3 linked regions of the Coturnix japonica genome follow. The protein of the gene in region 3 purifies or fractionates together with the protein of the main gene of each other region. This does not show direct contact. Links are inferred from orthologs where the notes say so. Each region holds a gene or a part of one and is shown on either strand. Other genes may lie near its edges.

Region 1 (4,865 bases), on a different chromosome or scaffold from region 3:
GCATGCGCACAACGGACCCCAAGCCCACCCCGGTGCGCGGAGGGGCGGCAGCGCTGCGGGGACAAGGGGATGGGGGGGGGGGTACGGGGATATGGGGGGAGATGGGGATATAGGGACCGGGAACTGGGATAATGGGTGGGGGTGTGGGGAATTGGATGGGAACCGGGACAGGGACGGGGGAAATGGGGTGAGGGGTGGGGGGACACTAAACATAGGGACAGGTTGGGGGCAGGGACACTGAGAATGGGAATAGGGATGTGAGGACATGGGATGGGATGGGGAAAGGGATGTACGGACATATGGGACAGGATGGGGATATGGGGACAGGGACATTGGGAATGGGATGGGGATATAGGGACACTGGGAATGGGGATGGGACATGGGGACACTGGGAATGGTATGGGACATGGGGACAGGGATGTGAAGACAGGTTGGGGATAGGAAGAGTGGGAACGAGATGGGGACAGGGACATCCAGACAATGGGAATGGGATGGGGACACAGGGACAGTGGGAACAGATATGGGGACAGGGACACTGGGAAGAGTATAAGGACAGGGACATGGGGACACGGCAGGGACAGGGACACTGGGAATGGGATCAGAATGGAGACATGGGAACAGGAACATGGGCAAAGGGACACTGGAAATAGAGATATGGGGACAGGTTGGGGTCAGGAGCACTGGGAATGGGGCTCACCCCATTGTTCAGCATATCATGACCCCAGTAGGGCTGTGAGTGGTGCACCAATGGGGCAACGTGGGGCCCCATCCCAGCTGATGGTCCCACTGCAGAGGGGCCCCCACTGCTATGACTGTGCACCTCATGGTCCTGCTGCCCCACTGCTGAGCCCCAATGAACTCAGGCCATGCACAGAGCCCTGCTCCCAGACCCCTATACTGCCATGCCTCAGTTTACCACTGCACCACCCCACGGGCAGGCAGACAGGGAGGAACCCCACAGCCCCCCACCCCACACATATTCCCCATTCCCATTGAATGACCGCATCCATGGAAAATTCCCACTCCGTGCGCATTGCCGGCTGCTGCAGGTCAATGTTTTCCAGCTGGGCTCCCACTGGGAGCAGCCCGTATGAGAACTGACTGCTTCCCACGCTGCCGGCCCCGTCCTGCACCCAATTGGGGTGTGCAGGGATATGGGGTGGGCAGATATGGGGCGATGATGGGGGGCTGCCCATAGGGCGACTCTGCACAGTCCCCAGAGCCAGAATCCAGGCCCAGAGCACAGGGCTGAAGGCAGAGCTGTGTTGGGAGGATGATGGATGTCACCCCCCCCCCTCCATTCTCCAGGGACATAGAGCTGATGTAATAGAGCTGAGCCCTCTGGACCCCCTGGAAATGCAGCAGCAGGACAAAGCCAAGTGAGAAAGGAACAGTCCTACATGACTTGTCTTGGTTGGGACATAGTGACAAAGACATAAAGCAGTGCTGGGATGGAGGAAATAGGGGCACTGCCCCCTCTGCCTTCTGCCAAAGGGATCAGACTGAGCTCCGGGTGTAAGTTTGCATTCAATGTTTAGCAGGATTCCAAAAACACGTACAAAAATAAAGGTAAAAATCCAGACTTGCCCCTTTTCCTGGGGAGGTTGGTAGGAACAGCCCCATCCCCAGCACTGCACCTAAGGGAAGGCAGAGCACCCACGGGCAGCATTACTAAAGGCAGGAGCTGACCCAGCAACCTCACACCCCAAGAGTCCAAACATTCAACTCAAGTTGATGCGTTGCAGCCCAGACCACATCTGTGTGCCTGCAGAGAGAGGAGCTAAAGGGAAAACAACCTCCTCACTGCACACAGGGCTCTGATAACACATAAAGCATCGGTGTGGGGCTGAGAATGTGGTGCACAAACACCCCAAGGGGTTTCTCCAGCCATACAAGAGCAACCTGAGGAGCCCTGAGAGGTGGGAAGCGCTGGGCCCACTGGGCTCCCTGGGCTCAGCAGGGATGTGTTCACATGGGGTAGTTGAGAACGACGTCTTGCTTGGCCAGCTCCAGCAACATGGGGTCATCGAAGAACTTGCTGATGCTCACGTCCTCGCTCAGGCCCTGCGGAGTAACCCAAATCTGTGTCATTCCACTGCATGCCACAACCCACACAGCCCTCCTGGCAGAGCTCCCGTGGATCCCAGACGTACCTTCCTGCGTCGGGTCTTAATCATGAACTCCCTGGCCAGATGTGGGGCCGGCTGAGGCTCCAGGGGGCGGATGACGATGCTTTTGTCCAAAGGGTCACCAGGCACAATCTGCAACAAGACCACGGCTGAGAACAACACTGGGAGCTCCAGGAGAGCCTGAGCTTCAAAGGGAAACATGCACGGGCCCCACGGACACCCCCAGGTGTGACAAAGCCCCAGTGTGGCATCTGTTCTCAGGTAGGGAGAAAGAGTCACATTGCCACCAATTCTGTGGGAAGTCACTCAGAGTGTGGCTCCAAAGCTTTTCCCTGAGAGCCAAAGCTGAAGGGTGGCAATCACAGCAGAACAGCAAGTCTAAGCCTTGAGCCCCCCGAGGTGCAGAGCTCAGTGCACCAAACAGCACCCAGCAGAGCACACCTTCCACTCAGGCACTGAGGGACCCTTGAGCTCAGCAAGCAGCATTCAGCACTTCTGCTAAGGGGAAATGCTGGGTGACAAGGAGCAAAGCCTCAGGCTTCTGGCAGCAGACACTTGGTGCACAAAGCCCCCACCAGCTCCAAATGCCCGCACTGGAGATCTCTGAGATGTTTGGGCTGCCCTGTGTAAGCTGCAGCACTGAGCACAGCCTGATCTGCCATCCCCTCCTTCCCAGTAGGACTCACCTGCCAGTGGTGGAAGACAGACAGTGAGAACGCCTGTCCCTGTGTGTGGGTCCTCAGGTCTGTCTCGAAGCCGAAGGAATCGATGGCGGGGATGAAGGCTTTGATGGTGTACAGAGGGGAGCCTGGGATCGGAGCGTCCTGTGTCACGTGGCCTCTGTCAGAAAGTCAAAACATTCCTTTTCCTACATGTCCCATTTTATTGCTCCTTTCCAACACTCCAACAGCCCCAGGCACAAAGCAAAGCACTGCATGTGGTGTTGGACATCCCCTCCCCACACAGCACAGCAGACAGATTTTGCCCTCTCCCCTCATTTCCACATCAGCCCCCCCTTCCAAGGGACTGTAGAGGTCTCTACCACCCAGGCAAGCAGCTGCTGCTTTGCACTGATGGCAGCTCACCTGCGCCGTGCCAGCACAGTGTACACGGCGGACACGCAGTCAGCTGGGGCCTGCACCTCCACAAAGTAGTAGGGCTCCATCAGACGAGGGGTGGCCTGGGGGCACAAAGGCAAACAGCAGATGAGCCTACAGCAGCATCAATGTGCTGCAGCACACACAGGATCAGAAGCTGCCAAACAGCTCAAACACAGCACCCAAGTGGGGATGAGAGGGTTCCTGCTGCCCCTCCAGTGCCTGAATGAACCCCAACAAACAGGAGCTCTGTGCTTTCCTCCTCCTGCCCACGTTGATGTGTTCCCTCTTCACATTCCCACCTTCCCCAGCAAGTCTAACACTTGCACAACAGGAGGCAGCAGATGCAGGCAGGCTTCCAGCCAGGCTGGAACGTGACCACTTGTTAAGCCTGTGTGCCAGCCTGAAAGGGCACTGCAAACAAGGCAGTTTAAACCACCATCCTTGTGGCAGATGCTGCAGCACACGTACAACCTGTGCTCACTGGAGCCTCTCAGCCATCACTGCACGAGGCTCAGTTTTTGCCATGCACACACAGTGCTCACCATCAGGAAAGCTGAGTACACAACCCTCCGTGCCGTCGGGATGATCTGACCTCCACCTCGGTGCAAAGGCTCCTGAGCAATCACTGCGTCCAGGATCTTAAACTTCACATTGCGGATCACTGAGGAAAGGAAGAAACAACAGCAAGTGATCTTAGCAGCTGCCCTTTGCCATAGCAGCACCAGCCATGCATCCCCAAAGACTCTGAGCACAGGGGTCGCAAAAGAGATAGAGCCATCAGAGAAAGTTCAGCCATCCACTTAAAGATGGTAGAATTCATTCATCAGCCCCATTCCTACACAGGTTCTACTTACATTCATCACAGAGAGGCCCTTCCCTGGTCCCCCACTGAAATCCCTGCACAATGCTGTCCTTCACGGAGCCCAGCAGCGCCTTGTCCACCTATGGACAGAGACAAGGCAGGATCAGATAGACCCCAGTGTTTAACAGTTGTTTATTAGATGAGCAGCCATGTTCTTCTGCACCCTCCTCACAGCTCTGAATCATCATCTTTAAGAGTTTGACATCTATAGTCAGAAGTGAAGAGTGCCTATTTTGGTAATCCTTAAAGACAGGCCGTTCAGTTCTGAGGGTGCTGGCCCAAACTGCGGACTGACAGTTCACCAGCTTTGATATGAGCATAGAGGAAGAAGCTCAATGTATCTGAGACATGACAAACCAACAAGCACTCCTACAGCATTAGAACCTTGCTGCAGGTCCTGGAAGGAACTGCCACCTCTGGACAGAACAGAATAAACATTTCATAGTTTCATAGTTTCATAGTTTCGTGCGGGTTGGAAGGGACCTTAGAGATCATCGAGTCCAGCCCCCGGGATTCGAGCCTCTGTGTAGCAGAGCGGCACTTCTACCACTTGCGCCACAGGGGGGATTCGAACCCCGGGCCCCAGTGTTGCAAGGCGGCGTCTTTAACCACTGCACCACCGGGGCACACAATATATTTCACTCCAATATAACCCCTGTGCCTGTTCCTCACCTCTGAGGGCAGAGTATCATCTACCAGGATGTTTGGGCCAGTGGCATCCGGCCCGAAGGCCCAGATGGAACGGGCAGCCAGCAAATCCCAGTCGTATTTGGT
Region 2 (5,210 bases), on a different chromosome or scaffold from region 3:
TTAGCTGCTCAACTGCCTGAGGTTGCACCAGAAAGTGCCTGGAAGCTGTTTCAACAAAGCAAAAGTTAACATTTCTCTCACTTGCCGCTAAGGCAGAACAAGGCAGCTGTGATCTGTCAGAACACCCAGCATTGCAGTCACTGGAGTGTATCCTGCAGTTTTCTTTGGCCTATAAAAAAGAGTTGTGAAAGAATTGGGCAACTCTTTGGGCAACATGCTTTCTGCGTTAACCTCTGCTGGTATTCACAAAGGAAGAGAAGCCTGTTCCAGTCATAACTGCTGTGGAGCGGTCTGCAATCAGATCAGAAAGGATATGGTGTGAGTCAATTCTAATAATAGTTCCTCATCACTGGAAACCTCACAACTTGATCTAGAGAAGCAGACAATTCCTAGTAGACTCTCTTCCTGTTCTAGTGAAGCAAACTAGAGTGTGACTTGTAGTCTGCATTCCAGGAAGGGTCACCGCTGAAAGAAAACTGACATAGCAGAAATTTGTGCATGGAGAAAACAAACAGCACAAAGTAGCTTAAGATTAGAAGTATCTGACAATAGAGAGAAATAGATGAAGAGATGAATAGAGAGAAAAGATGAAGAGTACAGCATCAGACACTTAAAATGCAAACATCAACCAGCAGAAATGGTCCATGTTTTCAAAAATACTTAAAACGTATCCTGTAAAACCAAAGTAAGCCTATCTGAAAGCATGCTAAAATTCCATCTGAGGGGCACCAAGATGGTTTTCAAACCCAGCAGTAGAAAAGGACTCAATGTGAACATATTACTGTCCATGCTGCACTCCCAAACCCACCAGGAGAGCCTGAGGGCAGGCTGACATCCCTTGTTCTGAATCAAGGTAGAGCAGCAGATTTGCAGTTACTAGGAGACAGCTTGAGAGCTGCTACTTGCTCTGAGGCTCATTAGAGCTGCTGCAGCCAGCATCACGTGGTCGTGCTCAAGTGCAATGTCTCATCAGGGATGCAGCTACACACACCAAAATGAGTGTCTTTACTACATCAGGACGGGAACTTACTTGGCCACAGCCAACAGAACGTGTGGGTCGTGCTCACACTTCTTCAGGGCATCCACACTCTTGGTCTTCCGTTGTGGTCGCGCTTCAAGGAAAATTGCCTCTGACCACAGGATTCCTTAATCAAGTGAAGTAGAAAGATTTAGTGTGAATCAGAGATTAATCCTCCCCATCATCAGGCCAGCGCTCTATGAAGTGAGCAGCACTACTGTGCCCACCCCAGAAGTTATCCCTGCACCTCCACCTTGTCTCAAATCGCTCTTTCATCATGGATGCTTCATTCAATACTCTGAAATTTAGCAAAGGACCCTCAGTTCTGAATGTTTCTGTACCACAACAGCAGTGTGCACGAGCACAGAGCTTAAGCCTTTCCAATTAGACACCGCACACAGCAGAGGGGAACTCAGAAGCAGCAACAAGCTGGTCTGAATGGAAAGCTACAGTGGCAGGTGAAGTCCCACAAGGTGTAAAGTACACCACTTGGGAGCAGTTTCAAAGGTGCCAAAGAACACCACAGTATTATTGATGCTGGCTCTCCACACATATGACGAAGGACACGGTAGGGCCAGGAAAGCTGGGTTTAATCCCTAGTTCCTTTCACTGCCAAAAGCAAGAAAGGAAACATGCTCAGAGGAGCATGAAATCTTCAGTTTCTAACGCCAGTCAACCATACCTGTTGATCACTTCAAGGCAAAGCCTGAAAGCTTGGGTCTGCCAGGACTCTATCAAAGCACTCTCACTTCCCATAAACTGCACATGGGAATTAACACACTCAGATGACAGCAGTGACAGACTGCAGCAGAACTCTAGATTTGCTCTTTACATAGAGTCAAACCATTCTCACAGACCTCTATTTTCAGTCCTGCTGAGGACACAAACACTGATGTATTTCAGTTCATGATTTTATCCTTTGTGCCATCTATGTCAGCCACAAGCAATGGTAATCAGATCAGCAACTGATGGACGCGGGTCAGGTTTACACAATTGTAGGTGTCTAACAAACTCAATCCTGCAGGTTTTTCTTCCTGGTTTGTAAACTTTTAAGAGTTGGGAGTTATTTTATTTAAACAGAATCTGAGATCTTACTGCCTATTTCTATAGCAACAGGCAGAATCTGCAGAAGAGCCTGAGGTGGCAAACACAACAAGTGTTAGGTCCTTCATAAAATAAAGCTGGTATTACTTTGTTGGCCCACTCACAAAGCAAGCAGCTTGCAGTGAGTTGATCAAGCCATAAAAGTCACTTAACTCCCATTACTTCACTGGGGTGACTTAAGCAGTCATCAACTAAATACCTTTCAAAACCAGCCTGAAGGCAAACTAAAAAGACTTGCCCTGTGGTAGGTTACCACACTTTCTACTGAAGTGACATCTCTCCAAAGATGTCAACACGTTCAAAGAATTAAAGCCTTCCCACAATTCTGTCAAAAAGGAAAAAAAAGAAAGGAAACTTCCATTTTCTCCTCCCATCCCAAGAGGCAAATGTTTCCACTGCTGGTTAGAACCAACCAACTTCGTTAAGGAAAGGCAAATAGAGCTTATATGATGAGCTAAAATAATCAAAACCCATTAGTAGTGCAATCAGTGTGGGCAAACCAACAACAGGAAGTCTCCTATGGTCAATTATACCCCAATGAGACAGGGGAAAAAACATCCTTTTTCCACCAAACTCCCTAATTACAAAAGCTTGAGAGTCTTTCTTCAGTTTTAAACCTTGGCACAGACTTCTACCAGCCTCAGAGAAAAGCCACCCATGTCCATGATTATTTTGCATGAAACCTCTTGACAAACTGTGGACCACAAAATCGATGATGCCAACACCAACCCATGTTCCCTTCAGTGTGAAGCACTACAAAGTAACCAGGATCATTCACAAAGCCCCCCCCAACCCTCCCTTTGCAGGAGAATGGCTGTCACTTCTCTAAAATGCATTATTCTGAGACATGGCCAGAAAGGCCATCTTGGATAAAGATAATCCTTTACTAACTGAGCAAACACATAACCAGGTTTAAGATCAAAATGACACCCAGCTCACCTGAATTAGGGCATTCTTGCAAGGCCTTGGCCATCAGAGTATTTGCAATGTTCTTCAGCCCAGCTCTGTACTCCAGTCGCACAGACTCTAACCTGGTAATAAAGAAACCCAGTGATGATATTTATTGTAACACATTCACTCTGTAACACAAATCAACTCTGAGTCACATGAAAGTCACTGGAAATTACAAACATGCCCATATGAACACATGCACCTTACTGACTTCTTCCCATTCCTCCCCATTAAAAAACACATTTTGCAATGGCCTAGTCCATTTCTCATATCATTTTTAACCTATGATAGAAACAAAAGACCCCTTGATTTTCATGTTCTCTACACTGCAACTATCTGTAAAGAAACAACAGGTCCCCAGCTCCTCAGAGTAGCCACACAGCAGCCAGAATCTCCAGAGCCCTTCTTCAGAAGAAGTGCTAGGATAGGTGTGCTCATAAGTTCTGTGATCAAATAACTGAGGTGTGAGATACCTCATGCATGCATCGATCTTGCAGCTCAAACTAAGTTCACGTCTACACAACTCACCAGAGATCCGCATTCTTTGGATTCTTTAGGCGAGACTTTTCCAAGATAGCCCTTGCTCTGGTCAACTGTCCCACCTTCTCTTCCAGTCTGGACAGCAAAAGCCACAGAGGGATGGAATGGGGACACTTTTTCAGCTGTTTAATATGATAACAAAAGGTACGGTTACTATGCAGATCTGAAAACATTATAACCCCCATAGAAAAGGAATCCCTTCCTTGAATCTTTCTGAGGAGTTCAGAAGTGAGATAAGTGACCACATCTCTCAGATTTCTCCTAGTTAATCATATAGCACTAAAACAGTAGAAATCTAGTTTCTCCTATAACCAAAACACCAAGAACACCACTATGACTAAACTTCCTCAATGCCAAGCAAAAAGAAAGAATACACCTCCCTTAACAGTACATCTATGACCTGTGCTCCATCTAGAGATGGAGAGCTCTAATAAATAACAAAATCACACCTGCAGAGTACGCAGGAAACGCATTGCCCTTGAAGCTCACAAAGTCATTAGGATACAGACACCGGCAGAAACCTGCTTCCCTATTACTTGCAGGGCAGATGAGTTTCAGGAGCATTCCTACAGGACGCCAATTACCATTTAGAAGACACATGAGTACTCAGCAGACAATCTCCTTTTACAGTGTTTACCTAACCTTATTAGCAGGGTCTTCTGTTAAGAAGTTCTGCTGTTTAGTCGTTGCAGGTCTTAGAGAATTATTGTGTAATGACTTCATTCCTGCTAGTGAGTAGTCAAGCATACAGCAAACTCTCTCAAGCAAGAAAGCGAATTCTGCACACACACACCAGCTAAGAGATAAATTCTCACTGCTTATTTCAACACCCTAATAATTTTCTCTTACTGTTTTAACCAATGACAGGGAGAGAAATCACCTCCACTGTTAATATGGGACAGAGCCCTCTCCATCCTGATTTGAAGACAGACATCTGTCCATATCACAAGCACAAAGCAAGCTTACAATAACATGCATCTTACCCCTTGATTGTAAGCCTCCCTTGCTTTCTCTACCAGCTCCTTTTGTTCCTCGATTTGTCCTTTCATCATCCACAGTTTGGGAAAGTCCTCATAGTGTTTCAGGGCTTCCTCACAAAGCTCCTGTGCCGCAGCAATGTTTCCCAGCACCCATTCCAACTTCACAGACTTCATGAAGACCTGACAAAGAGACGGAGCCGTTTATCACTGGGGAAGAAACAAAAGCAACAAAAACAAGAACTCTGCCAATGCAGTGGGTTCCCATGTCTGTGCATACATTGGGAAGTTATTCATGAGCCTTAGTTTGGAGCAGAAGGCTCCATGACTGACAGGAGAAGAGGACAATCTAAAAGGTCCAAATCTCCACACAGCAAACCAGGTTTTTTCCTCTTACTTGGTCAAATCGAAACGATTCTGTATGCACAGCTAAATATTGACAACATTTATCACAGCAGAAGTAACCGTAGAGATAAACACAAGACTGTAACTTTAAATAAATCCGATGAGCACCGTCTTTAGCACAGCATAATTGAGTCTTCTGCAAAAAATATTTTCACTCTCTCTTCTCCAAGACACGCTTTTATGCAACATGAACATTATACAAACAGCTGTAAACT
Region 3 (5,210 bases):
TCATGCTGTCAGATTAGATATTTAGCAAATACAGAAAACAATTTGCTAGCAGCAATTAATCCTTCCAGTTTCTCAAGTAATATGCTGAGATACACACAGACCAAATTATTTTCAAAAGACATTCATCAAGTTGAAATTAGAAACCAAACCACACATGAGCCCCACAAGGTCTGCCCACCAAACAACAGATTTCAATTATCCCAGTAGTAATTTGACAAGATTAAAAGTAATAAAACATGATTAAGGTTTTAGATGATGACCCAAAAACTACAGCATGATGTTTTAACTGGTTCCCCACATTACTAAACCTGCATGTTTAAGACAGCGAGTTAGATCTCAAGACTTACTTTTCATCAGATGAAGACTCTTGTTCCACTTTCATGCCCTCAGAAAGACTACCTTTAAATTTGTCTTCTTTAACTTTGCTCCTACTCCTACGTCTGTGACCACCACGTGACCTGGACCTCCTTCGAAGGCGAGATCTACTTCTTCGGCCTCTATCCCTGGTAAGAGGAAGAGGGATTTGTTTGTTTGTTTGTTTGTTTTGCTTTTTATTTTCTTGTTTTTTTAAAAGAAAAGGAGGAAAATCTGTTTGTAGAACAAAGATACACAGCAACTCCAAGGAATACAACAAATGAATTAATGGAGGACAAAATTAATCCAACTATGCCAACTTATATATAAGTAGGGACTGAGAAATGCATTATATTTTTACACATAGGGTACCATGTGACTCTTTGTATCCTATAAAATGAACAACAAAACCCACGTGTTGTCTTTACCTCCTTCGCGGGGACCTACTCCTCCTTCGTGGAGATCGGCTACGTCGAAGGGGTGACCGCGACCTCCTCCTAATGGGTGACCGAGACCTTCTCCGGGATGGAGACCATCTGCTGGGTGGGCTGATATCTTTTGATCTTTCCCGTCTAGACAAAATATCATCTCTGGTTCGCGTTCTTAAAATGAAGAAAGAACCACAGTAAAATAAGGAGCGAGCTGAGAACAAAACCTCTAATTCCTCCTAAAATCGTGTTCATCACAAGCAATATTCAATGAATAAAACCTAAAACCAAATTCTTGATTTTTTCTCAGCAACACGGAGGTTAAATTTAGGGCAAAACTATTCCATGATGACAACTTCCATGTGTTTTCCAATCTGGCCAATAGAAGTGAATGCTTCAGCATCCCACATACTGTAGTACTGCAGCTAAAAACAACCATTCTCAATTAACACTTCTCAAATTAAAACAACAACCAACACTTGATTCCATTGTCACTCTTGTCTATACAGATGCATAATTTTTTAAGGGAAAAAAAATCCTTAATGAACCGACATTAAAATGCCGATCAGAACAGGTGCGAAAAGAACCCCAATCTGTTCAGGGATTGCATGCATGTGATAGGAAGTGGAAGGTGATTAAGAAGTCCTAAGTAACGTTGCACAGTACCATACTGAAGTCAGAGAACTAAGGAGTATCTTACACAAGTGGGACACTGCAAGCAAAGATGAAAAATCAAATTCCTGGGAATCACAGAATCACAGAATGACCCGGGTTGGAAGGGACCTCAAGGATCATGTATTTCCAACCCCCCTGCCTGGCAGGGCCACCAAACATACACATTTACTAGATCAGGTTGCCCAGGGCCCCGTCCAACCTGGTCTTGAACACCTCCAAGGACGGGGCATCCACAACCTCCCTGGGCAGCCTGTTCCAGGGCCTAACCACTCTCCTAGTGAAGAACTTCCCCCTAACATCCAACCTAAATCTTCCCTCTTTCAACTTAAAACCATTTCCCCGTGTCCTTCAACCTGTGGTTGAAAACGCTCACTGGAGCTCCTGAAGTTACCTGGCAGCCCGGATAGTTATAGGCAGTTAAAACTCCAATGTGGGAACACTGGTTCAAGAAGGCCTTCTTGGATTCCAGTAGAAAATATTTCTCAGCAGTCCTCCACTCAACAGTGTAGCAAATAAAACTGAAGTTTTATTTATTTATTTATTATTAACTGAAGTTACTCTTCTATCAACTTCGTAGCAAAATTCTAGACATGTGCCTCACTTGCAGTAGTGTTTAGACAACTAATTCAAACTGGCTGCAATGTAACAGCCTGCACTGAAATGCAATTTCACTAGAAATGAAAAGTGAAACTAAGACAGGCAAGAAATACGTCAAAGACACACAGTGGAGTGCTCATTCACCAGGAACTAGTTGAATAAATTGGTGCCATTTGCAATACTTGCTTCATCTGGTTAACACCACAAGGGCCATTTTCCAAAGTACCTGCAGTGCTGCTTGTCAACAGTATATGGGTAGCTCGGTCCGGCCCTGGGCACTCACCCATTGCTGCAACAACCACATAGTGGTGTGTGATTGGAACTGCCTGGGCTGGAGCCAGGGGAAAGCGCACCGTAGTGCTGATTCCACCTCTCCTGCTCATCAAACACACTCAATGGAAGTGAAACCCTCAGGTATTACACGTTACATGTGCTCAAGCATCTTGGCAAATAGCACTATGCTTAATTAGTAAGGAAATTGCATCAGTTTTCAGACTTTTCAATTTAATAAGACATTATATGCAAAAATGTACGGCCAAATTCAGTGCATATCAAGGAATGCTTTACAGATAAACTGGTGGAATTGAAAAAAGTCTGTCATCTCAACAAATCTTCCTTTAAAAAGCCCTCTACTACCCGAGAGAAATATCATAGAATCATAGAATCACCAAGGTTGGAAAAGACCTAAAAAGATCATCCAGTCCAACCATTCACCTATTACCAATAGCTCCCCGTAAATCATGTCCCTCAGCACAACACCCAGTCTCTCCTTGAACACCCCCAGGGTCGGTGACTCCACCACCTCCCTGTGCAGTCCATTCCAGTGCCTGACCACCCTCTCTGAGAAGTAATACTTTCTAATATCCAGCCTGATATCCCTCACTTCACAATCATGCCTTATTCACGGCATCAACTTTGGCAAGCATGTACATTTGTGAGCAACTGTTTTCAAGGAAGAAGTACAGGAGGAGTAAAATTTCAATAAAAATCTCTGGTGAACTCCTCGAGAGCTCACTAAGAATTGCAGCCACTGCCCCCAAACCATTCTGATACATTAATAATACCATATATTTTATATCCAAGACAATACCTTATCACGTAATGCAGCCCAGGGAAGCCTAAAGTTTGGACACTTCAGGTTTAATGGGTTAACATCCAGAAGTGTATACAACTGTACTGTTCCCTGAACAGGAGCTTGCAATCCAGGCATTACCAGATTCAAAGACGCTGCTGTCTGATGGCTCATATTAAATCTCAAAGTCACTGCTTTCAAAGCCTAAACTGCCTTTTAAAACAAATGACAAAAGTACGTTAAGAAGACTGAACCCTTCCTCCCTCATTTATGCATATACAAAATATGGCAATGATATACAAGTTTGGGCTCGCTATCAAAACAGACCAGTAACGCTACCATAACTCCAGCAAATCAAAGAGACAAAAAATAACTAAGAAGCATATCTTAAAGTCTAATTTACACCATTCACACTTTCATTTTTCAGTAGGTGTGCGGGGAGATGCCAACACTGACGTTTAAGAGGAGAGGGAATAAGGTTCTCCCTTCTCAGGAATTCCTGAAAACAACGTTACTACTAACTTTGGAACCAAAACAGAAGCTGAAATCCGAATTCAACGCAACAACAAAAAGCAGAACCTGAGCTACAGAAGTTGTTCCCAATACTGGTGAGAACAACCAACAGCAAAGCTGACTTTGTGTGTCTGACAGCTGGGGTTAGTATTTTTGAATGATGACTATGTGTAACAGAAACTCATCATACAATACATAGCTCTTCTCAGAATGAAAGAGAAACACCAGGCTAGAAGATGGTTCATCCCATAGCACATCCTTGCAATGGCTCATGACACTTTTAAGTTACCTGGGAGATGAAAGACGCCTCCTTTCCGATTCTCTTCTTTTCCTTTCTGCGGATCTACTCCTCAGCCTCCTAGCTGGAGATCGGGTCCGAGAAGGGGATTTACTCTGTTTAGATCTACGATCATTAAAGAGAGGGGATCTGCTTCTTCTTGACTTTTCACGTGGCTTAGGAGACAAGCTTCTTCCTTTTGGGCTTCGGCCAGGTCTTCTGGGGGACCTGTTTTCTTTCCCTGAAGAAGCATCTTTAGAAGGAGATTTAATTGGCTTTTTATCTTTGTCAGTCTCTGATCGCCTAGATTTTCTATCTTTGGACCGCGATCGTCTATCTTTGGATTTGCTTCTGAGTTCTGCTGGAGATTTGGATTTTCTGCCGCGATCTCGACTTTTGCTTTCATTTACAACTGGAGACTTCCTGCGATCCCTTGATTTACTCTTATCGTCAGCCTTATTTCTGTCTTCTGGGGGAGATTTAGATTTCCTATTTTTCTCCTGAGATCTTCTTTTAAGCATCGGAGATCTTGATTTCCTCGTCTGATCTTGAGACTTACTTCTTTTACAGGGGCTTTTGGATTTTCTCCTCTCTTTTGACTTGCTTCTAGTTGTTTTCTCTTTGATTCCATCAACTGCTACCTTGCTTTTCTTTTTGTCAGATCTGTGCCTAGTCCTTTCTTTTGATTCACTCTTATTTCCTTTTTTGGAACTAGCTTTATTTTCCACAGGTTCTAATTTCCCCTTAGTGTTTGACTTAGCCGCGGGTCTGGTTCCATTTCGCGCCTTTTCATTAATTTCCCCCTCTTCTTCAGATCCCGACTCATAACCTTGTAATATTAATCCCATACCGGACTGGACTTTGCCTTCCATTAACTCATTTTCAAGTTCAGCTTTCAATAAAGCCCTTTGTTTCTCCAAATCTTCCAGAGGAGCTAAAAAATCAATTTTAGTTCTTTTTGCTGGTCCATCTTCCTTGTCGGAGGTATCGGCTACCTCTTTCCGTTTATGTTTCTTATGTTTGTGTCTGTGTTTATGTTTTTTGTCCTTATCTTCCTCTGAAGAATGTTTATGTTTCTTGTGTTTACTTCGGTGTTTGTGTTTCTTTTTTTTGTGCCGGCTGTGCTTGTTCTGAGGTTGATCTGCTTCTGACACTTCCCCATTCTCTTCATTTGTACTCTTCTCAGATGCGTTAGCATCCTCAGCCCTGCAAAAGAGATAAAAACTACCCATCAGTATCAGCAATTCACAGCAGCCCTTAAATTCAGGTTAGTTTGATGGCCTCTTTTGTGATA

Evidence for each region.
Region 1: the proteins of PRPF4B (region 3) and EFTUD2 purify together in Homo sapiens (affinity purification with mass spectrometry; 3 studies listed by BioGRID and IntAct, with this or other methods). This does not show direct contact. The link is inferred for Coturnix japonica from reciprocal best matches to the Homo sapiens genes PRP4K and EFTUD2.
Region 2: the proteins of PRPF4B (region 3) and PRPF6 purify together in Homo sapiens (affinity purification with mass spectrometry; 3 studies listed by BioGRID and IntAct, with this or other methods). This does not show direct contact. The link is inferred for Coturnix japonica from reciprocal best matches to the Homo sapiens genes PRP4K and PRPF6.

What each region holds. Positions count from the first base shown.
Region 1 is NC_029542.1:761,632-766,496, forward strand, and holds the end of EFTUD2 (116 kDa U5 small nuclear ribonucleoprotein component), read right to left. Parts: coding exon 4,764-4,865; intron 4,172-4,763; coding exon 4,084-4,171; intron 3,891-4,083; coding exon 3,772-3,890; intron 3,310-3,771; coding exon 3,215-3,309; intron 2,970-3,214; coding exon 2,816-2,969; intron 2,262-2,815; coding exon 2,154-2,261; intron 2,065-2,153; coding exon 1,969-2,064; 3' UTR 1,509-1,968; downstream 1-1,508. UniProt on the Homo sapiens protein: Required for pre-mRNA splicing as component of the spliceosome, including pre-catalytic, catalytic and post-catalytic spliceosomal complexes. Component of the U5 snRNP and the U4/U6-U5 tri-snRNP complex, a building block of the spliceosome.
Region 2 is NC_029535.1:8,470,241-8,475,450, forward strand, and holds part of PRPF6 (pre-mRNA-processing factor 6), read right to left. Parts: intron 4,774-5,210; coding exon 4,597-4,773; intron 3,736-4,596; coding exon 3,602-3,735; intron 3,154-3,601; coding exon 3,062-3,153; intron 1,146-3,061; coding exon 1,031-1,145; intron 1-1,030. UniProt on the Homo sapiens protein: Involved in pre-mRNA splicing as component of the U4/U6-U5 tri-snRNP complex, one of the building blocks of the spliceosome.
Region 3 is NC_029517.1:63,508,078-63,513,287, reverse strand, and holds part of PRPF4B (serine/threonine-protein kinase PRP4 homolog), read right to left. Parts: intron 5,123-5,210; coding exon 3,929-5,122; intron 957-3,928; coding exon 783-956; intron 504-782; coding exon 348-503; intron 1-347. UniProt on the Homo sapiens protein: Serine/threonine kinase involved in spliceosomal assembly as well as mitosis and signaling regulation. Connects chromatin mediated regulation of transcription and pre-mRNA splicing.